Linked DNA regions of Anolis sagrei. Each later gene encodes a partner of the first gene's protein in a complex. Links are inferred from orthologs where the notes say so. Each region holds a gene or a part of one and is shown on either strand. Other genes may lie near its edges.

The links.
Region 2: the proteins of PLXNC1 (region 1) and SEMA7A are in contact, whole or in part, in a crystal structure (PDB 3NVQ), measured with the Homo sapiens proteins. The link is inferred for Anolis sagrei from reciprocal best matches to the Homo sapiens genes PLXNC1 and SEMA7A. Residues at the interface, in NP_005752.1 of Homo sapiens: Arg131, Thr151, Glu152, Val153, Asn195, Pro196, Ala197, Ala198, Ser199, Asp200, His201, Thr203, Ala206, Lys208, Arg213, Ser214, Leu215, Ala216, Thr217, Gln218, Glu219, Leu220, Arg222, Lys224, Glu272, Ala350, Ser352, His353; in NP_003603.1 of Homo sapiens: Gln194, Tyr196, Asn197, Gly198, Lys199, Arg202, Arg204, Tyr213, Ser215, Asp216, Thr217, Gln270, Gly271, Gly272, Glu273, Ser274, Ser275, Leu276, Val278, Ser279, Lys280, Pro372, Thr375, Glu376, Phe378, Gln379, Asp382, Arg383.

Annotation. Positions count from the first base shown.
Region 1 is NC_090025.1:154,775,426-154,787,831, reverse strand, and holds the start of PLXNC1 (plexin-C1), read right to left. Parts: upstream 5,628-12,406; 5' UTR 5,500-5,627; coding exon 4,507-5,499; intron 1-4,506.
Region 2 is NC_090023.1:274,683,483-274,694,823, forward strand, and holds the start of SEMA7A (semaphorin-7A), read left to right. Parts: upstream 1-6,696; 5' UTR 6,697-6,723; coding exon 6,724-6,859; intron 6,860-11,341. UniProt on the Homo sapiens protein: Plays an important role in integrin-mediated signaling and functions both in regulating cell migration and immune responses.

The DNA.
Region 1 (12,406 bases):
ATTGCTGGAATTCATAGTTCTCCTGCAATCAAAGAGCATTCTGAACTCCACCAACAATTGAATTGAACCAAACTTGGCACACAGAACTCCCATGACCAACAGAAAATACTGGAAGCGTTTGGTGGGCATTGACATTGAAGTCTGTGAATAAACCGACTATGTTACTTTTAAAGAAGTATGCGTATTTTTGTCTCTTGAGAGCATGATTTAAACCAAGATGTTTTAGAGGAGAGTAGATGATTTTTGGGCAACTGAAATAACACTTCTGAAACTCTGCTATATATGTGTGTTTTGTGCATTGGCATATCTTTGTCCCTAAAAGAACAAAGAAATGTCTAAGTTTATCATTCTAATAGCTGATAAACCTGATTGCCTTGCATGGACCCCATTTTCCCAAAAGGTTATGGCTCAAACAGGTCATGCTTTTACCAAGAAGTTATGGCATCATTTTTCAAAAGGTTGTGACTTCTAACAAGGTCATGCCTTTCCAAAGACCATGAAATCTCCAAAAGGTTATGGAGATTTCCATTTTCCAAAAATGCTAACAGGATTGCTTTAGGGGAAATTATTTACCATGCTTGATCTATTTGTTGGTGTGACTTGATACAATTCTAGCAGAGTACAATTCTGCCCCGCAAGGCTTTTAAGGCAACAAGACATTACAGCAGCAAATTGTTCTTTGACTCAAGAGTACTTGCAGCCATTTGTGCTTTAATACTTAATAAAGGATGCATCTTAATGCACAACTGGCATCCCCCCCCCCCCCCCGTTTCATCACATAACACAAACTTTAGCATATAATTTTAACTTGAAAAGCCTTCTTTGTACAATTGTTGCATAACTGTGTTTTGCCACTGCAAACCAAAGTTCTTACTTCTCATGTTGAGTAATGTCACAAGGTCTTCTTTCACAAAACTCCAACAAGCTAGCTATAATATCTTAGTAACCCTGTTTCTGAGTCAGCCAACAGTCAGCATTTAAGGCCTACTGATTGCAATTAGAAGCTGACCAAGTACTTAAATAGTGCTTATTGTTGATTGTTTTACAGCAGAATGATATCTGTCAACTTTTTAAGAATGTAAAAGCCAAGTATCTAAGTACATTTCAGATACCACATGTGCCAAACAGAAATCTGGCCCACCATATCATTTTATGTGGATCTCCAGATGCTTGTCTACTACACCTTTATTTCTCATCATTAGATTTCATGACTAGAGCTGGTGGGAGCTGTGATACATTAGTTGGAAGGCTGCAGTTTGTTCTGTTTAGTCAGGAGAATGGGGTTTGAATTTAGATACAAGGCTTGTAGATATGTCTGACTTTAAAATTTCCCCACCCCAGAGCCACTAATGTTGTTGGGTTGCAATTCCCATTATCTTTAGTCTGCATGATGGACAATCAAAAGTGATGCGAGTTGTCATTCAATAACATCTGGAGACCCAAACTGGGTAAAAACTAAAGAGTACTGACCATTATGTTAAAAATATATAGTTGGCTCTCTGTATCTACGGATTCACCATCCATGGATTCAATGGCCCGTTGAAGGTTTATGTGGCCCTTAAAAAATGAGTTTGATACTCCTGCTCTATATATTTGCAAGAGTGCTAAAATCAGATTGCTTATGTACGCTAAGAAAAACTGGATGCAGATCAAGATGATGACATGGGCAATGTTAGACTTTGACTGAGGAAACATAGTTTTAAATCCCCACAAAGCCAATTGCTCTGACTTAGCCTGATTTACCTTGCAACTGCTTGTATGATGTGAAGAACGTGAAGTAGATAACATGCCTGAACTTCTTGAGGGGATGGTGGAATAAAAATAACATTTGGCCAAGGTGCCCAACTAAAGCATTATGAGATTATTCTTGGAATTTGGGGGCCAACACCACATTGCAAAGATAAAGCAGACCAGACTGTTTTCACAATGCATCATGATTACATGAGAAATAAGGTTGAACATTGTGAAAGCCACCCATTATATGGCTCTCAGTCTCCTCCCAGTAGACTTAAATCAAGGAAAAGTTTCATGAGAACCACCACTCCTCTAAATGTTCCTCCAGCAACAGCAAAAATATCCCTGTGGGCAGCAAAATCAGGCAATTCCAACTGGATCCCCCCTCCCATGAGGGTCTTCCTCCAGGGGCAAACCAAGAATGAGCAACTTGGAAGTCACTGAACAGACTTAGGGGCGGAGTTGGCAGATCAAAGGACAACCTGGCAAAATGGTACTACCTAGCAGAATCCTCCACTTTGTGTGACTGGAGTAGAACAAACAACTCAGCATCTGTATGCTTGTCCACAATGCCCTGCATCATGCACAGAGGAAGAATTGTTTAAAGCTACAGAATGCAATCGCTGTTGCCTGTTTTTGGTCTAAAACTATCTAGCACCTTGTGATCCCTTTATTTTATCAGTTGTGGATAAACTATTTTATGCAATGCTTTTGACACAAAACAAATAATGATTACGTGAGTGTTACAAATACAGAAGTGGGTTGCTAGATGTGCAGTGCAATTTTAGATATTGGGAATGAGGAACTCTGTAGTTGGCAAGAAATTATGAGAACTACTATTCAAAATATCAGGGCAGCCTAAGTTTCACCATGCCTGCTACAGATGTGCCCAAACAAAGCCCAACTGAATTTAGTATGAAAGTTCAGGCCAGATGTGCATGGGATAGTACTCTAATCTGTTTTCAACTTTGTTATGTTGTGTATACACAACAAATGTACCACTATATGCATTAGGAACCCACTGTTTCTTTGCACATATATAGAGAGACTGACCTAAGTAAACTCTGATGCTCAGTATCATAATGTTAAGATGGAATACTTGAAGATGTTAGGCAGAATACAGGAGGAAGCTAACAGACAGAGACTGTCACATGTTTAGTGTTCATAACCTATAAAACATATGTACAAAACTGATAGAAAACTTCTGCCCTGTTTGCTAGATTCACCCCACAGAAGATCCTGATCTGGCCTACTTTTTTCTCTTTTTAAAGTGCAGAAGATTTTGCAGAGAACACTGAACCCACCACATTTGGCACACAGACCCAACACGGCCAACTGTGCATACAGGTGGGGTTTGAGGGTGATTGACATTGGCACCGGGGAGTTACAGTTCACCCACATCCTGAGAATACTGAACCCAGCCGACGTCGGATCTGGACCAAATTTGGCACACAGACCCAACACGACCTACTGTGCATACAGGCGGGGTTTGGGGGTGATTGGCATGGGCAGTGGGGAGTTATAGTTCACCCATCTCCTGAGAAGGCTGAACCCAGCTGATGTCTGATCTGAACCAAACTTGGCCCAAGATGGCCAACTGTGAATACTAGTGGAGTTTGGGAAGAACTGGCCCCAGATTTTTGGGAATTGTAGTTCACTCACATCCTTATGCATTTTCTTATGGGAACATTCATAAAAAACAAAAGCAAAGACTTATTCCCCCCCCCCCCTAAGAAATAGAGTAACATATGATCAAACTGATACTATCTAACATCCAAAAACAAAAATGCCTTTTTCAAATAATATGAGCACCGCCAGGTTCCCAAGCTAGTGCACAAATGAAGCTGTAACAGAAACTTCCCCATCTTCTGTTCCTCTTTTGCAGAAAAACATCAGATGGACTGGAAAGTTGTCTCCCATTTTTGGAATTTCCTACTGGTTTCCTAAATCCCCACCATGAACTTAAAAACTGATATCGAAACAGGTCACTGATGCTGTGAGGAAAGGCAGGAATCATAGTCAAATGCTTAAACTACTCCACTAGGCATGGGCAAACTTCAGCCCTCGCTCCGCGTGTTTGGACTTCAACTCCCGCAATTCCTAACAGCCTCAGGTCCTTTCCTTTTCCTGGTGGAAAACCTTTTCCTGCAGGAAAAGGAAGGAGCCTGAGGCTGTTAGGAATTAGAATCATAGAATTGGAAGAGACCTCATGGGCCATCCAGTCCAACCTGCTGCCAAGAAGCAGGGAAATTGCATTCAGAGCACCCCAGACAGATGGCCATCCAGCCTCTGTTTAAAAGCTTCCAAAGAAGGAGCCTTAACCACACTCTGGGGCAGAGAGTTCCACTGTTGAACGGCTCTCACAGTCAGGAAGTTCTTCCTAATGTTCAGATGGAATCTCCTTTCTTGTAGTTTGAAGCCATTTTTTGCATCCTAATCTTCAGGGCAGCAGAAAACAAGCTTGCTCCCTCCTCCCTATGATTTCCTCTCATATATTTATGTCATGTTTCCTCTCAGCCTTCTCCTCTTTCAGGCTAAACATGCCCAGCTCTTGAATCCGCTCTTCATAGGGCTTGTTCTCCAAACCCTTGATCATGTGAGTCGCCCTCCTCTGGACACATTCCAGCTTGTCAATCTCTCTCTTCACTTGTATTGCCCAGAATTGGACACAATCTTCCAGGTGGGAGGGCTGGAGGGTTTGCCCATGCCTGTTGTGCCACACGGGGTGGCTGCTGCAGCCCAGCCCTCCCGGCCCTTCTCCCCGCTACTCACGCAGGTGCTCCCGGGGGAGTCCAAACGGATCTCGGCCGCCGTGTCTTGGCTGCACTTCTGCACCTGGCCCAGGATGCGCTCCAGCGGGAAGAGGCAGACGGCCGTGGCCCCGGGCGCCCCTTCTTCGGCCGCCGCGAAGAGCCCGACCCAGAGGCCTTTGGGCTCCAGGAAGGAGGAGGAGAGGATGCGCGCCCGTGACCCGCACCGCAGGATGACTTGCCCTTTCAGGACGAAGAGTTCGCCTGGGTTCAACTTGACCACCAGCATCTTGGGCTCCACGCTGAGGTTGCGGTGGAAGTAGGGGAAGAAGAAGTGCCCCTTCCAGTCCAGGACGGCCGAGAAGTTGAGGTACTGCTCGCCGGCGAGCTTCAGATACTGGTTCGGCTCCACGCCCTTCCCCCCGCTCGTGACGAAGACGGCCACGGTGGCGGTGCCCTCCTCCAGGATGCTGCTCTCGGCCCCGCAGGCAGAGACCGAGGCGTTGGGGCGCTTGTGGCTGGTGGCCGCCAAGAGGAACCACTGCCCGGCGCTCAAGTACATCAACCCCGCGGAAGAGACGCCCGGCAAGGAGCTCACCAGCTGATTCCCGAAGGTCCGGGTGGCGTTGGGGCCCCTGGCGCGGTCCTCCCGGAGGCAGAGGCAGCCCGGCCGCGTCCAGCAGGTCAGCAGCAGGCGGCTCTCGTTGCCGAAGGGCAGGAGCAAGATGTTGGTGGCGTCCTTGGCCTCCTGGCACCGGCCCACCGACTTGGAGGACAGCGAGGGCTCCACCTCGTACCAGCACCGCCCGCTGGCCACCAGCAGCTTCCCCTCGGCCACGGCCAGGTTGTCGATGCTGGAATCGAAGGACAGGACGGGAGGAGGGGGAGGAGGAGGGCTCCCGGCCAGAGTCCAGGACAGAGAGGAGAGCAGCCACGCCGCCGCCCACGCTGCCCCTCCGGCCATGGCCTTGGGCTTGCCTTCGAGCGGCGCCACCGGCAAGTGTGCCGCCAGCATTGAAGGCGGGCACCTCCTCCTTGCCTCCCTCCTCCCTTTCTCTCTCTCTCTCTCTCTCCCTCTGGTTTCCTCCTCCGCGGAGGAGCAGAAGTTCCTTTTCTCGGTGAGGAGCCCGCTTCAAGGCTTTCCCCCGAGGCTCTTCTCTGTCCACGCCTTTCCCCACCTTCCAGAGGAGTGGCTCCGTCCTCTGGGAGACTGGCCTCTAGGGGTGAGAAAGCGAGCGAGGGGGCTCAAGAACACCTTCCCCTGCTTTCATTTATTTCCTGCCAAAAGCACTGCATAAAGAGATAAGGGTAAAACTGATAACATAAATTCAGTTGTTTGGGCACATCTGTAGCAGGCATGGGGAAGCTTGGACCGCCCGGATATTTTGAATAGTAGTTTTCATAGTTGGAGGAAAATTCTGAGAGGGCCTTGGACCGGGAGAAGATCCAACCAGTCCATAGAGACATCACACTGGCAACAAAGATCTGCATAGTTAAAACAATGGCATTCCCCATAGTAACCTACGGATGTGAGAGCAGGACCTTAAGCAAAGGAAGGAAGATAGATGCTTTTGAACTGTGGTGTTGAAGGAAAATTCTGAGAGTGCCCTGGACTGCAAGAAGATCCAACCAGTTCATACTTCAGGAAATAAAGCGGGACTGCTCATTGGAGGGAAGGATATTGGAGGCAAAGATGAAATGCTTTGGCCACATCATGAGAAGCTTGAGGAAGACAGTGATGCTGGGGAAAATGGAAGGAAAAAGGAAGAGGGGCCGACCAAGGGCAAGATGGGTGGATGGGATCCTTGAAGTGACTGGATTGACTCTGAAGGAGCTGGTGGTGGGGACAGCCAATAGGGAGCTCTGGCATAGGCTGGTCCATGAGGTCATGAAGACTCGGAAGTGAGTGAATGAATAAACAACAACAAAGTTTTCATAATTTCTTACCTACTACAGAGTTCCTCGTTCCTGATATCAAAGATTGCACTGGACACCTAACAACCCACTTCTGTATTTGCAACCTTATTGTAGCACTCAATAATTATTTATTTTGTGTCAAAAGTATTGTGTAAAATAGTTTATCTAAAACGGATAAGATAAAGGGATCACAAACTGCTAAATAGATTTAGACCAAAAACAGGCAGCAGCAATTGCTTTGCCTGTAGCTTTAAACAGTTCTTCCTCTGTGCATGAGGCAGGGCATTGTGGACAAGCATATAGCTGTGGAGTTGTTTGTTCTGCTACAGAGTCACACAAGGTGGAGGATTCTTCTAGGTTCTCAGCCTGTGGGTATCTAGATGCTTTTGCCTTCAACTCCCAGAAATCCTAACAGCTGTTAAACTGGCTGGGATTTCTGGGAGTTGTAGGTCAAAACACTTGGGCACTCACAGGTTGAGAAACACTGTTCTAGGTATTTCCATTTTGCCAGGTTGTTTTTTGATCTGCCCTCTCCACTTCTGAGTTTGTTCAGGGACTTCCACATTGCCCATTCTCGGTTTGCCCCTGGAGGAGGACCCTCGTGGGGTGGCCATCTAGTTGAGATCTCCTGGTTTAGCTGCCCAGAGGGATACTCTTGTTGTTGCTGGGGGAACATTTAGAGGAGTGGTGGTTCTCATGAAGCTTTTCCTTGATTTCAGTCTACTTGGAGATGGCTGATAGCCATATAGTAGGTGGTTTTCACAATGTTTAATCTTATTTCTCATGTAATAATGATGTATTGTGAAAACATTCTGATCTGCTTTATCTCTGTAATTTGGTGTTGCGCCCCCCCCCCCCCCCCAATTCCAAGAATAATCTCATAATGCCTTAGTTGGGCACCTTGGCCAAATGTTATTTATATTCCACCATCTCAAGAAGTTCAAGCATGTTATCTACTTCATGTTGTTCACATCATACAAGCAGTTGCAAGGTAAATCAGGCTACGGAGTCATAGCAATTGGCTTTGTGGGGATTTGAGTCTACTACTCTCACAATTGGCAGCAACTTCCTGTCACACATTTGGGGGGGGGGGGGCAATGCTAGCTAGCTTATAGTCTATTAACAGGTGTAGGTTTGAGACATCCTGTGATTATTCTACTTGTCTAATTCAGGGCTATATTCACCTGCTTCATGTGGGCAGATTTATGGGGACAGGCATACTCAGCAGTTGTGTAAGACAAGACCAGGGCTGATGTTTTTATTAATTCTGAATCTGCACCCTATGCACTATTATTAAGTTTCTGCAGGATTTTATTGTGTGCAGCTACTTTGTGCTTGGTGTTCATACAGTGTTTCCTAAATGTTAGTGTTTGGTGTAAGGCGGCACTGAGATAATTAGGATGGGAACAGTGTTCAAATTCTTGGCCTTCCCAGGCAACCGTCAGTTTCCTGTTGGCTTCACGATTTTGTAAGTGGAAAGCACACACTTGTGTCCGACAGGGCTAGGCTTCAGGTGGTTGTCTTAGTAGTAGCTAGAGAGATGTTTCAGGGCATTAGTAAGTTGGTTTTCAATTGTTTCAAAGTCTTATGCTTGTATTGTTAAGCCAAAGTCATCAGAGTATATAACGCTCTTTGTGAGTGGTGGTTGTGGCTGGTTGTTAGTACAGATGCTAAACAAGATTGGTGTAAAAACATTGAGGTAGACTAACAGGCAGCTCTGCAAAGACTTGCCTTCACCTTTCCTCTGAGATGAGACGCTCCTCTCCAAACGTTGCCTATCCCCCTTTCCTCTTGGGAAGGAGAAAGTGCTCTTGCAAGGCTCCCCTCACTTGAAACGAAGAGGGTCCTCTCCAAGCTTTACCCAAGCCTTTTCTCCTCTGGCAGATGAAGAATGAGAGGCTCCCCTATAATTCTTGTCCCCACTTTCCTCTGATAGGTGAGAGGCTCCTCTATAAGACTCTTATATTCTTCTGCTTGGAGACAGAAGACAGGTTTCTCCATTACACTCACTGTCCCTTTCCTCTGAGAAAAGAGGTTCCACAACAAAGCTTCCCTTCTCTTTTTCCCCTCTGGTCAGTGAGAAAAGAGAGGCTGAAAGTCTTGCCTACCCCACCCCTTTTCCTTTGCTTGAGGCTCCCCTAAAGGCCCCTTTCCCTCCTCAGTGAGAGAAGAGAGGATCCTCTGCAAGACTCCCCCTCCCCCTCACCCTCCACCCTCCACCCTCCACCCTCCACCCAAGTTTCCTCAGCTGCCTCCAATGAAGAGTCTCCCGCTCTTCCCTCCTTTTGGGCGCGCTCCCAATCTCTCTCTCGTGCTCGCTCCCTGCCCTCAGGGCGCGTGACCCTGAGCTGGACACTCGCGCGCGCGCGTTTGCTCGGCCCCGCCCCCTCCTGCCAATCCTCACCCTTAAGGCTCCCCGGATATTCTCCTAGACAAATTTGCAGGGAGGGGCCTGCCTGGAACCGGGGCTGCTGGCCAAAAGCTGGCAAGGCTGACCCCTCAGGAGGAGGTTGGGTAAGGCCTCCTCCCATATCCCATCATAGCCAAGAAGGGAAGAGTTTGGTTCAGGGTGCAGCTACTCTGTAGAACTGATCCAGTTTGACACCACTTTACAGCTAAAGTACCTCAATGCTATGGAATCATTGCAGCAGGGCCATACAAAAGGTGACTGGCACAACCTGGGGGGTCATAACCAGATATAGTGAAGACATTTGCCCTTGCTCGTTGCTACTCGGCTGATGAGTACGCACACCCCGAGTGTGGAATACATCTCACTACAACAAAACAGTGGAGCTAGAAATAATATCCTACAACAGCTGACTGGCACAGTCTTGGGATCACAACCAGACACAGTGAAGACATCTGCCCTTGCACTTTACAACTCTGCTGCGGAGTATACATGCCCAGTGTGGAATACATCTCACCACATCAAAACAGTGGATGTGACTCTTAATGAGACATGCTGCATTATCACAGGATGTCTATGTCCAACACCACTGGAGAAATTATACTTTTTAGCCCGTATTGCACCACTTGACATCCATCAGGAAGTAGCAATCTGTAATTAAAGGACCAAGGCAGTGACATTTCTGGCCCATCCTCTGATCTGATATCAGCCACCAAGCCAACACCTTAAATCAAGAAATAGCTTCCTCAGATTTACAGAGATACTGTTAGGAACACCTCAGCAAGCAAGAGTCCAAAAGTGGCAGGCTAAAATCCAGCACCTCAATCAGTGGCTGATACCGAATGAGAGACTCCCTCCTGGGCACACAGAAAACTGGGCAAGTTGGGAGGCGCTGAACAGGCTGTGCTCTGGCATCACAAGATGCAGAACAGACCTTAAGAAATGGGGCCACAAAGTGGAGTTCACAACATGTGAGTTTGGAGAAGAGCAAACCACAGAGCACTATTACAATGCAATCTGAGTCTTGCCACATGCACAATGGAGGATCTTCTTATAGCAACACCAGAGGTATTCCAAGTGGCCAGCTACTGATCAAAGTTTTAAAACTGTGTGTGTGTGTTTAAAGATACATTACAACTGTACCCTTGGTTCGCTTCTGATACGATAAATAAATAAATGGCAAGGCCTGTAGCCTTCTCTGCCAAAGAGTGCTGATGCACTGGCTGACTATAAACTGCACACCCTGCAGTTATTCCCCACCAGAAACAGGTTTTTGGATGCTAATGGACCTAGTTCTTGTCCTTGCTCTCAGTTTTTCAGAGGGTGTATCTGCACCAGGCATTGGGAAACTTTGACCCTCGAGGTGTTTTAGATTTCAACTCCCACCATTCCCAACAGACTCGGGCCCTTTCCTTTCCCCCCTCAGCCACTTAAGCATAAGCCCAAGTTTTCCCAGGCCTGATCTACACTGTAGAATTAATACAGTTGACCCCACTTGCACACAAATGCAGAGAGTTTGATCTTTAACCTTCTCTACCAAAGACAACTGGGGTTTCACCAAGCTACAAATCCCAAGATTCTATAGCATTGAGCTAATGCAGTTAAAAGTGGGGTCAAACTGCATTTATTCTACAGTGCAGATGGACCCCTAGACAGCCATGGGCTTCCAGATGAAGGGCTTCTCTTCAGAGCAGCTGGAAGACTTGGCGTAACTGTTGTTGTTATTCACCATCAATGTTACCTTTCTGAGTGTATCTACAGTGTAGAATTAATGCAGTTTTAGCACCACTTGAACTGTTGTGATTAAGTGCTGTAGGATCATGGGAGTTGTAGTGTTACAAGTTCTTTAGCTTTTTCTGCCGAAGAGTGCTGGTGCCTTATATTCTGTTGGTGTCTCATTTTTGTTTGTCTGTTTTTGGCATTCCACAGTATCTGTAGAACTTGCCATAAGGGATTTTCACTGCTAAGGACATTAGAGGCATGGAACAACAGGGAAGATGATAAGTGAAGGACAATATCATCCAAACCCTCATAAATATTTATTTATTAGATTGAGATCACACTTCCCCCCAAATGGGACACATAATAGCTTAGAATTCAAAGAATGAGGATGGGTAATATTTCATAAATATCCTGCCCAAGGATTTGTCATCTTTTCTTCAAAGTTTATCATGTGAACAAAAAAAGAAGGGGAAAGTTTTTGGCAGTGTCAGAGGATTGCTGGGATATTATGCAATGTGTATCATACCATGTGATGATATATTGGATTATAGGGTGAGATAAGAGGGTAAGTGTGGTTTGGAAAATCTATGAAATTGGAACAGAATGAAGTTGGGATAGAACAGGGATAGAATCTCAGCAAAATTTGCATATGGATGGTATTTGGAGGAAAGAGGGAGGGAGGTGGTGTTATAATTTGATTGTGTAATTTTTTAATTAATTGGTTTTAAGTTGGTGATGTTTTAATTATTTGGTTTTAATGTATATGTTTTGTTTATTCTATGTATGTATATATGTGGCATCGAATTGTGCCTTTTCTGTGAGTTGCTGAGGCCCCTTAGGAATGAGAAGGGCAGGATATAAAAGCAGTGAGTAAATAAATAAATATGTGCTGAAAGTGAGGAGAGCTAGGGTGCATCTACATGGTAGAATTAATACAGTTTGACACCACTACAACCACCATGGCTCAATGCTATGGAACCATTGGAGTTGTAGTTTGGTCACTCTCAAGCACTCTTTGACAGATTATTATTATTATTATTATTATTATTATTATTATTACTATTATTTTAGTGATCTGCAAAAACTAAAATATGGTCCGCTGCCTCACTGTTACTACACTGTTGAAATGAGAGTGACTGGTGTCACAAAATCTCCTTATAGTGCTAGGCTTATTAAATATGGTTTTCTGTGGGCAAGTAGATGGCAACTACTGGATGGCATATGTTCTGTATCAGAAACTAGAGCTGATGTGGTCTAGCCAATGCAGTTTTCACCATAGTAGGATTGTTGTTAACTACTACTGTCCTACGAATTGGCAAAGTAAGAAACCATCTACGATCGAAGAATGGCTGAAAAAAATAATGGAAATTATGAATACAGATAGACTAGCATACCAGACACAAACACATCAGGGTTTACCAAAAACTCAAACAGACTGAAAACCAATTAAGGATTATCTAAAACAAACCAAGGTAATAATAATATAAACTAGATAGAATGCATAAGGAAATAGCTGTTCACAAGTAACTACAGAAAGAAAGGGGAAGTTATCAAGAAAAGAAGAAAAGGGAACTGCTTGTTTATTAAAAAGACCACAGCAAGAAGTAGATGGAAGTCAAGATACTGCCATTTATTTTAGTCCCTTTCCTCTCCCCCCCCCCTCTTTTTTCTTTTTTCTGTTTTCCCACCTTTTTATCTTTTCCCTTTTCTTTTTAATACAATGTATATATAAAATAAACTAACTACCATCAAGTCAACTAATAGAAACTAAAGGAATCAAAGCCATCCAAATCACTTGATCATTAGCTCAGATCTTGAAGATTCAGAGATGTGTCTTCTTTCATTGAGTCTATCCATTTGTGAAGTCTTCTTTTTC
Region 2 (11,341 bases), on another chromosome or scaffold:
CTTTGAACTGGGTCATCTGAGTCTACACTGACATGCAATCCTGATCAAATTTGGATTTTATACAGCTGTGGCGCAGTGGGTTAAAGCGCTGAGCTGCTGAGCTTGTTGATCGAAAGGTCGCAGGTTCGATTCCGGGGAGCGGCGTGAGCTTCTGCTGTCAGCCCTAGCTTCTGCCAACCTCGCAGTTCGAAAACATGCAAATGTGAGTAGATCAATAGGTACCGCTCTGGCGGGAAGGTAACGGTGCTCCATGCAGTCATGCCGGCCACATGACCTTGGAGGTGTCTAGGGACAACGCTGGCTCTTCGGCTTAGAAATGGAGATGAGCATCACACCCCAGAGTCGGACACGACTGGACTTAGTGTCAGGGGACTACCTTTACCTTTACCTTTCTGAAGCTGTGTAGAAGGGGCCTGAGAATCTACCATATAGAGATTTTAAAAACCACTGTATCACGCATATGGAAAGACATAAGGTGCATCTACACTGTGGATTTAACATAGTTCGATATCACTTTAACTGGTCGTATCAATGCCATGAAATGCTGGAAATTGTTGGTTGGGGAGGCAGCAACAGAAAGGGCGAAGCTACAGGATCCCACAGCACTGCCATTCAATGTCATGTTTTGTTGTGATGTATTTTGTTATTGTGTGTTTGTTATGTTGTATTATTTTGGGCCTTGCCTCATGTTAGCCGCCCCGAGTCCCATTTGGGGAGATGGTGGCAGGTTATAAATAAAGATTATTATTATTATAATATTATCATCATCATCAGACTGGGCTGATTCCACAGTGCAGACGTGCCCATCGCACCAATTGACCCGAAGTCCAGGTTGTGAGCAAACGAATGTCTTATGCGGCACAATTCTGTGAGTGTTTTGCCAAGAGACTGAAATTCAATGAATTGCAAGAGGAAAGGGATGAAGTGCAAACTCTCAGCCAATTTCCTGCCAAAGTCAAAAGTTTTGAGACCAGGAAATGAACTCGATAGTTTCCTATTACAGCTCCTTATTCCTACCTGGAAACCCCTGAGGAGTGATTCACGGTGCGCTACGCCACAGGCACACATCCATTTACGGCTCAAGGAGCTGAAAAAGGAAATCCTCTAAGTCACCCAAGCAATCGAAATCAATAATATGAGTTATGATTGGGATTGCGAGACCTTGAGGTCACACGGGCATCCTCACCATGACTTGCCTTTAGAGCTTCCTGCTTTTACCAGCAATCCATATTCAGGGCGCATCAGCACCAGGAATGGGCAAACCCAGGGCTCGGGCCAGATGTGGCCCCCCTTGGGCCCTTTTCTCAGGCCCTCCTTTTCCTCACCATCCTATCCTTCCTTCCTTCTCTCCTTCCTTCCGCCTTCCCTCCCTCTTTCTCCTTCCATTCCACTCTTGTCCTTCCTTCCCTCTCTCTCCCTCTCTCTCCTTCCTTCCTTCCTGCTTTCCTTCTCTCTTTCCTCCCTCTCCTCCTTTTCTCTCCCCCCATTTCCTTCAACCCTTTTGTCCTTCCTTCTCTCTTTCCTTCCTCCTCGCCTTTCCTTAATTTCCTTCTACCCTTTCATCCTTCCCTCACTTTTGTCTTTCCTTTCTTCTCTCATTTCTTCCTCCAAACCTGCCTCCCTCTCTTTCCTTCCTTCCCTTTCACCTATTCATCCTTACTTCCCTCTCTCATCCCTCTCTCCCTCTTTCTCCTTCTTCTCTTCCCTTTTGTCTTTCCTTCCTTCTCTCTATAATCCTACCCTTTCATCCTTCCCCCCCTTTCTCTTTCTTTCCTTCCATCCTTCCTTCCCTCTTTCCTTTCTTCCTTCCCTCTCTTCCTTTTTTCTCTTTCCATCCTTCCCTTCCTTCCCTTTTGTCTTTCCTTCCTTCTCTCTTCCCTTCCTCCAAACCTCCCTCCCTCTCTTTCCTTCCTTCCCTTTCACCTATTCATCCTTACTTCCCTCTCTCATCCCTCTCTCCCTCTTTCTCCTTCTTCTCTTCCCTTTTGTCTTTCCTTCCTTCTCTCTATAATCCTACCCTTTCATCCTTCCCCCCCTTTCTCTTTCTTTCCTTCCATCCTTCCTTCCCTCTTTCCTTTCTTCCTTCCCTCTCTTCCTTTTTTCTCTTTCCATCCTTCCCTTCCTTCCCTTTTGTCTTTCCTTCCTTCTCTCTTCCCTTCCTCCAAACCTCCCTCCCTCTCTTTCCTTCCTTCCCTTTCACCTATTCATCCTTACTTCCCTCTCTCATCCCTCTCTCCCTCTTTCTCCTTCTTCTCTTCCCTTTTGTCTTTCCTTCCTTCTCTCTATAATCCTACCCTTTCATCCTTCCCCCCCTTTCTCTTTCTTTCCTTCCATCCTTCCTTCCCTCTTTCCTTTCTTCCTTCCCTCTCTTCCTTTTTTCTCTTTCCATCCTTCCCTTCCTTCCCTTTTGTCTTTCCTTCCTTCTCTCTTCCCTTCCTCCAAACCTCCCTCCCTCTCTTTCCTTCCTTCCCTTTCACCTATTCATCCTTACTTCCCTCTCTCATCCCTCTCTCCCTCTTTCTCCTTCTTCTCTTCCCTTTTGTCTTTCCTTCCTTCTCTCTATAATCCTACCCTTCCATCCTTCCCCCCCTTTCTCTTTCTTTCCTTCCATCCTTCCTTCCCTCTTTCCTTCCTCCTTCCCTCTCTCCTTTTTTTCTCTTTCCATCCTTCCCTTCCTTCCCTTTTGTCCTTCCTTCCTTCCTTCCTTCCTTCCTTCCTTCCTTCCTTCCACCTACTCATCCACCCATCCACCCACCCATCCCTGGGCAGCCAGTCCTGTGAGCAGGGAATGCTAGCACGTGGCCCCCAAGTTAGAAAGTTTGCCCATGCTTGATCTACACTGTAGAGTTAATGCAATTTGATACCACTTATACTGCCGTGGCTGAGTGCTATGGAAACATGAAAGTTGGAAAAAAGAGGGCAAACTAGAAATCCCAGGGTTCCATAGCACTGAGCCTTGGCAGTTCAAGTGGTATTGATCTGCATTAATTCGACAGTGTGGACACACCCGCGGCCATCCGTCCTTTTCCATTTGCGAACCAAGGCACAGGCTGGTCTCTATTTTATCTCCTTCGTTTCCTCCTGGTCCTCCAAAGTATTTGAAGGGTCGGGTCACATTTCCTCAATTCCTCTCCTAAAGCATAATGTGTTTTGACTAATGACTCATTAATTGCAGTCCGGCCTTAACACCCTCCCAAGTTCAAGAGAAAAGCCACAGGAGGGGGAAACAGGCGTGCGTGCGATGACCCCCCGGGGCGTTTGGCTGGCTGGCTCGGACTCCTTTCTTGGGTCCAGCTATACTGTAAAGCCAATGCCGCTGGACCCCACGTGAGCCTCCTTGGCTGGGGCATCACTGAAGCTGTAGTTTGGTGAGGCACCAGGCTTTGCAAAACTACAGTTCCAATGATCTTACCACATTGAATAGAACTGCTTTCAAAGTACGCATAGTGTCTAGATCTAAGGAAGTCATGCTCCCCATGCTCTATTCCGCTTTGGTTAGACCACACCTGGAATATTGTGTCCAATTCTGGGCACCACAATTCAAGAGAGATATTGACTCTAAGCTGGAATGTGTCCAGAGGAGAGCGACTAAAATGATAAAAGGTCTGGAGAACAAGCCCTATGAGGAGCGGCTTAAGGAGCTGGGCATGTTTAGCCTGAAGAAGAGAAGGCTGAGAGGAGATATGATAGCCATGTATAAATAAATATGTGAGAGGAAGCCACAGGGAGGAGGGAGCAAGCTTGTTTTCTGCTTCCTTGGAGACTAGGGTCTGGAGAACAAGCCCTATGAGGAGCGGCTTAGGGAACTGGGCATGTTTAGCCTGAAGAAGAGAAGGCTGAGAGGAGACATGATGAGAGCCATGTATAAATATGTGAGAGGAAGCCACAGGGAGGAGGGAGCAAGCTTGTTTTCTGCTTCCTTGGAGACTAGGGTCTGGAGAACAAGCCCTATGAGGAGCGGCTTAGGGAACTGGGCATGTTTAGCCTGAAGAAGAGAAGGCTGAGAGGAGACATGATGAGAGCCATGTATAAATAGGTGAGGGGAAGCCACAGGGAGGAGGAGGGAGCAAGCTTGTTTTCTGCTTCCCTGGAGACTAGGGTCTGGAGAACAAGCCCTATGAGGAGCGGCTTAGGGAACTGGGCATGTTCAGCCTGAAGAAGAGAAGGCTGAGAGGAGATATGATAGCCATGTATAACTATGTGAGAGGAAGCCACAGGGAGGAGGAGGGAGCAAGCTTGTTTTCTGCTTCCTTGGAGACTAGGACGCAAGGGAACAATGGCTTCAAACTACAAGAGAGGAGATTCCACCTGAACACGAGGAAGAACTTCCTGACTGTGAGAGCCGTTCAGCAGTGGAACTCTCTGCCCCGGAGGGAGTGTGGTGGAGGCTCCTTCTTTGGAAGCTTTTAAGCAGAGGCTGGGTGGCCATCTGTCAGGGGTGATTTGAATGCAATATTCCTGCTTCTTGGCAGAATGGGGTTGGACTGGATGAAGGCCCAGGAGGTCTCTTCCAACTCTTTATTCTATGATTCTAGGATTCTGCACAATTAAACACGAAATAGCACTTTCAATCGAGGAACAAAACATTTTTCAAATTTTGTTACATAGTAGTGTTGTTGTTGTTGTTGTTGTTATTGATGCCCACCTGGAAATGATGCTCGTATCTCAATATACCCCCTGGACACTCAATAAGCCCCAGCTCAAGGATGGAGCAACGACTGAAAGGACCTGAGCCTACCTGCATAGATTCTAATTTCTCATTGTGTGGATTGATACCACAGGGAAAGCGGTCAATGCGTCTTGGAAAAGACAACCTTGTAGGACTAAGCAAATAATAGTTTGCCTAGACACACAATAAAAGTGAAAATATGTATGTGTGTGTGTGGCTGGGGTGTCCACTGACACAGAGAGGCTGCCACTTGCATGAATAGCTATAGCTCCCACTACTCAGGAGATACCAAAGGCCAGGAGATACCAAAAGAGGAGGGCGACTCAAATGATCAAGGGTCTGGAGAACAAGCCCTATGAGGAACGGCTTAAAGAGCTGGGCATGTTTAGCCTGAAGAAGAGAAGGCTGAGAGGAGACATGATGATAGCCATGTATAAATATGTGAGAGGAAGCCACAGGGAGGAGGGAGCAAGCTTGTTTTCTGCTTCCTTGGAGACTAGGACGCAATGGAACAATGGCTTCAAACTACAAGAGAGGAGATTCCATCTGAACATTAGGAAGAACTTCCTGACTGTGAGAGCCGTTCAGCAGTGGAACTCTCTGCCCCGGAGGGAGTGTGGTGGAGGCTCCTTCTTTGGAAGCTTTTAAGCAGAGGCTGGATGGCCATCTGCCAGGGGTGCTTTGAATGCAATATTCCTGCTTCTTGGCAGAATGGGGTTGGACTGGGTGATGGCCCACCAAGTCTCTTCCAACTCTTTGATTCTATGATTCCCTCCAATGACATTGCCGGTTATAGTGAGCACCACGACCATGTCCAAGAGCCCGGCCAATGTCCTCCACAGACACCACACTGCCCACCACCCCAGTGAAGGCGTTCATTCAGGGACAACTTCATCTATAGTTATGTGTTTCCTCCACCACAGACATCCCAGTGTTTCTTACTTCTCTCTATTTGCATGACCCCGCCCACTGCCTCTCCCTGATTAACCCTTTCCTATTCTTTTCTATGGCACACGGCAAACAGAGCAGAATAGATCTGCATCTGAACCTACTGGAGAACTTTGGGGAGAATTCACCATGATTTGTAGGTACTGGGATGTATAGTTCACTTTCAATCTAAGAGCACTCTGAACTCTACCAATGATGGAGCAAGGAACTAACTTGGCGCACAGAACCCCCATGACCAACAAAACATAGTGGGAGGTCTTTGGAGGGATTTAGAGGAGTTGTAGTTCACCTACATCCAGAGAGCACTATGAATCCAAACAAGGATGGATCTGGACCAAACTTGGCGTGCATATCCAATATGCCCACATTTGGGTACTGGTGGGTTTTGAGGGGAATTGGCCTGGACATTTTGGGATTGTAGGTAATGGGATGTATAGCTCACCTGCAATCAATGAGCACTATGAACTTCACCAACGATGGACCTGGAACGAACTTGGCACAAAATTATCAGCAAAAAATACTGAAGGTCTTTGGGGGGAATTCACCTTGATTTGGGGGAGTTGTAGTTCACCTACATCCAGAGAGCACTGTGAACCCAAACACAGATGGATCTGGACCAAACTTGGCACACAGATAGGATATGCTGAAATTTGATTACAGGAGGGGTTTGGGGGGAACTGACTTTCTTTTCTGGGAGTTGCAGTTCACCCACGACCAGAGAAACTCTGACCTCCACCAATGATGGCCCTGGGCCAAACTGGGCACACACAGAGCCCCCATGACTAACTCAACCTACGGGAGGGTTTTCAGGGGACTGACTCACCATAGTGGGAGTTGTAGTTTACCCTGCAGCCAGGGTGCATATTGAACCCCATCGATGTTGCATCTAGGGCAAACTTGCCCAACATAACAAACGTTAACTACTGATGGAGCTTCCTCACTCACCTGGTGATGCGGAGGTGGCTGCTGCTGCTGCTGCCGCCGCTGAGGGCGCCTGTTTCCGGGCCACGCCCCTCGCTCCCCATTGGCCGGCGCCGCCCCTATTTCTTCTCCTGCGAGCATGAAGCAGCGGCGGCGGCGTGAGTTTGGCCGAGGCGAGATTGGCCATGGCTGGCGCGTGGACGCGGAGGTCTGGCGGGCTGCTGGGCTGCTGCTGCTTCTTGGCGGGGCTGTGCCTGCCTTCCCTGCCGGCAGCCTCCTCCTCCTCTTCGGCGAGCCCCAGGATCCTCACTCCCCCGAGAGGTAAGGCCGGACCCAGGAGCCCGACCAAGGGTGTCTTCCTTCCTTCCTTCCCCGCCCGCCTGCCTGATGGGGTAGCCCTGTGGCCGGGGGGGGGGGGGGGGGCTCACCACAGCCACATAGATCTCTCCCTCCCTCTCCGTCTCTGCACGCAAAAAGAAGTTGGGTCTGAGCTGGGGGCTAAGCAGGGCCAGCCCCGGTTGGCCCTTGGGTGGGAGACGGAATCCCAAGTCAGGCAGTGGACGGTCTCCCGGGGGGCTAGCCCTTGTCCCTTGGCCCTTGTGGGCTCGCTGGGGATACTCCCAGTTCCCTTGCCCGAGCCTTCAGTGGCGTTGACCGTGCCTGGGCTTCTAATGGACAAGAGCGGGTTCCTGTCCTCTCTTGAAGGCGGTGGTTCTCAGCCTTCCTCGTGCCGCGATCCCTATATACCGCTCCTTATGTAGGGGCATACTTACCTCTCCCAACGCATCTCCTCCCATGAACCGACTGGGACACTCAGATCGTCTGGGGAGGCCCCGCTCTCTGTCCCGCCTGCATCACAGGCACGCTTGGCGGGGACGAGAGACAGGGCCTTCTCGGTGGTGGCCCCTCGGCTGTGGAACACCTTTGGACACTAAGATCGTCTGGGGAGGCCCCGCTCTCGGTCCCACCTGCATCACAGGCACGCTTGGCGGGGACGAGAGACAGGGCCTTCTCAGTGGTGGCCCCTCGGCTGTGGAACGCCCTGCCTGCAGGTATCAGACAGGCACCTTCGTTGCTGGTGTTTCGGAGAAAGGTCAAGACCTGGCTGTTCGAACAAGCATTTGATTAAACAGTGTAATTGAACATAGGAATACGGAATAATGAATGACGAGACTGGACTCTGATTTTAGTGCTGAGGCGCTCATGATTGTTATTCGGATGTTAATGATTTATGTTACAATTGCTTTTAATTGCCGTATACTTGTTTTGTGATATATTTGTGCTGATGTTGTTCACCGCTCTGAGTCGCCTGAGGGCTGAGAAAAGCGGTATAGAAATAAAGTAAATAAATAAAATAAATAATGATGATGTGGTGACCCCCAACCGTAACATTATTTTTGTTACTACTTTCATAACTGTAAATTTTCTACTGTTAAAAATCATAATGTAAATATCTGAGATGCAGGATGTATTTTAATTCACTGGACCAAATTTGGCACAAATACCCAATATGCCCACATTTGAATACTGGTGAGGTCTTTTTTGTGGGGGGGGGGGGGGGGGATTGAGTTTGTGTTTGGGAGTGGTAGCTGCTGGGATGTATAGCTCACCTACAATCAAAGAGCATTTTGAACTCCACCAGTGATGGAATTGAACCAAACTTGGCCCACAGAAAATACTGGAAGTGCTTGGTGGGCACTGACCTTGAGTTTGGGAGTTGTAGCTCACCTACATCCAGAGAGTCAAGCTAGGATGGATCTGGACCAAACTTGGCACAACGACTCAATATGCCCAAATGTGGACACTGGTGGAGTTTGGGGGAAATGGACCTTGGGAGTTGTAGTTGCTGGGATTTATAGTTCACCTACAATCAAAGAGCATTCTGAACCCCACCAACTATAGAATTGGGCCAAACCTCCCACACAGAACCCCATAACCAACAGAAAATACTGTGTTTTTCTGATGGTCTTTGGTGACCCCTTTGATACCCCCTCGTGACCCCCCTAGAGGTCCTGACCCTCAGGTTGAGAAACGCTGCTTTAAGGCGTCCTGGTTTGGTATTTTATGATTGGGTCTCTCGGTACCTATTGGTTCTGGAAGTACAACACCTGCGGTCTAAGCATTCAGTCAAACTGATTGATTTAATAGTATTACATAGTAGTAGTAGTACTTTGGAGTAGTAGCAGGAGGTGTGGTTGTTTGTCTGTTAAAAAATTGCAATACTACCGTTTGGTTTCCTCCTGATACAATAAATAAATAAAATATTGGAGTAGGAGTAGGAGTAGTATGGAGTAGAAGTAGGTAGATAATGTTGTATAGAGAGGAGATTCCACCTGAACATGAGGAAGAACTTCCTGACTGTGAGAGCCGTTCAGCAGTGGAACTCTCTGCCCCGGAGGGAGTGTGGTGGAGGCTCCTTCTTTGGAAGCTTTGAAACAGAGGCTGGATGGCCATCTGTCAGGGGTGATTTGAATGCAATATTCCTGCTTCTTGGCAGAATGGGGTTGGACTGGATGATGGCCCAGGAGGTCTCTTCCCACTCTAGGATTCTATGATTCTATGATTCTATGTAGTACGTAGTAGTTAATATTAAGAGTACATTCTGAGTCCCTCCATGGAGGTCAAGAAGGGTGGGGTAGAAGTGTTTTAAATAAATAAATAAATAAATAGCACATAGTAGTTAATATTAATAGTACATAATAGCATGATGTAGTAGTACTTAGTAGTATGTAGTAGCTATACTAGTACTGCTTAGTAGTATGTAGTAGCAGTAGTACTACATATATTGCTAGGAGGAGCAGTAGTGCGTAGTGGTGGTAGGGCGTAGTAGTATGTAGTGGTAAATATTAATATTACATAATAGTACATGCTAGTTAATAATAGTAGCACACAATAGTTACTAATAATACATTGAAAATAAATAAATAAATAAGTGCCCCCCCCCCCCCCTTGAATGGCCATGACTCCTTTTCCCCTCCTCCACTTAAGCTTAAACGGCGGGGGTGCGGGGGTGGAAGGAAAGGGCCCGAGGTTGTTAGGAATTGTGGGAGTTGAAGTCCACAACACCTGGAGGGAGGGAGGGAGGGAGGGAGGGCCAAGCTTTGCCCAGGTCTGATATAAATACACCCACAATTAGGGAGATGTATTCCTTCCACACCTTTCCACACCTTGGGCTGCACCCAACTCTTAAGCAGTTTAACGTTGTTGCACTTCAACTCCCATCGACCTGACAATGGTGTAGGCAATTTGTGAAGCTGTGAGCAGGTTGCTTTCCTGCTTGGCTCACCTGGGATGGCCATCTCAACGCTTTGCCAAATCCAGCGTCTTCGCTCACCCCAAATAGTAGGGTTGGTGCTCTGGAGGCAGGTTGGACTCTTTTTCCGTCCACAGAGACGCCTTATGTAGGTGTGTGGCTTTTACGCAGTGGTAATTGCATAGTGAGGCCAGACCCAAATTGAAGGGAGGATCAGTTTGAGATTGGCAGGGCGGCACTTTGTATTTCTTTTGCTGCGTTCTTGAGATCCAGTGGCCAGATTCTGGTTCCTTAAGTGGGGGCGGGGGGGGGGGGGGCATCTGCACTGGAGAACAGGCAGGGGCAAACTCTCTCACTTGGGGGAGAGACGGAAGGAAGGGTGGGAGGGAAGGATGGAAGGAGAAAGAGGGCAAGGAAAGGAGGGAAGAAATAGGGAAGGAATGAAGGATGAAAGATGGAAGGAGAAAGAGATGGAAGGAGGGAAGAGATGGAAGGAGGGAGGAGAGAGGAAGGAAGGAAGGAAGGAAGGAAGGAAGGAAGGAAGGAAGGAGGAGAGGGTGGGAGGGAGGGAGGAAGGAAAGAAGGAGGGATGGAAGGAGAAAGAGGGCAAGGAAAGGAGGGAAGAAATAGGGAAGGAATGAAGGGTGAAAGATGAAAGAGGAAGGGATGGAAGGAGAAAGAGATGGAAGGAGGGAGGAGAGAGGAAGGAAGGAAGGAAGGAAGGAAGGAAGGAAGGAAGAGAGGGTGGGAGGGAGGGAGGAAGGAAAGAAGGAGGGATGGAAGGAGAAAGAGGGCAAGGAAAGGAGGGAAGAAATAGGGAAGGAATGAAGGGTGAAAGATGAAAGAGGAAGGGATGGAAGGAGAAAGAGATGGAAGGAGGGAGGAGAGAGGAAGGAAGGAAGGAAGGAAGGAAGGAAGGAAGGAAGGAAGGAAGGAAGAGAGGGTGGGAGGGAGGAAGGAAAGAAGGAAGGATGGAAGGAGAAAGAGGGCAAGGAAAGGAGGGAAGAAATAGGGAAGGAATGAAGGGTGAAAGATGAAAGAGGAAGGGATGGAAGGAGAAAGAGATGGAAGGAGGGAGGAGAGAGGAAGGAAGGAAGGAAGGATGGAAGGAGAAAGAGGGCAAGGAAAGGAGGGAAGAAATAGGGAAGGAATGAAGGGTGAAAGATGAAAGAGGAAGGGATGGAAGGAGAAAGAGATGGAAGGAGGGAGGAGAGAGGAAGGAAGGAAGGAAGGAAGGAAGGAAGGAAGGAAGGAAGGAAGGAAGGAGGAGAGGGTGGGAGGGAGGAAGGAAAGAAGGAAGGATGGAAGGAGAAAGAGGGCAAGGAAAGGAGGGAAGAAATAGGGAAGGAATGAAGGATGAAAGATGAAAGAGGAAGGGATGGAAGGAGAAAGAGATGGAAGGAGGGAGGAGAGAGGAAGGAAGGAAGGAAGGAAGGAAGGAAGGAAGGAAGGAAGGAAGGAAGGAAGGAAGGAAGGAGGAGAGGGTGAGAGGGAGGAAGGAAAGAAGGAAGGATGGAAGGAGGGAGAGGGAAGGAGGGAGAAAAGAAGGA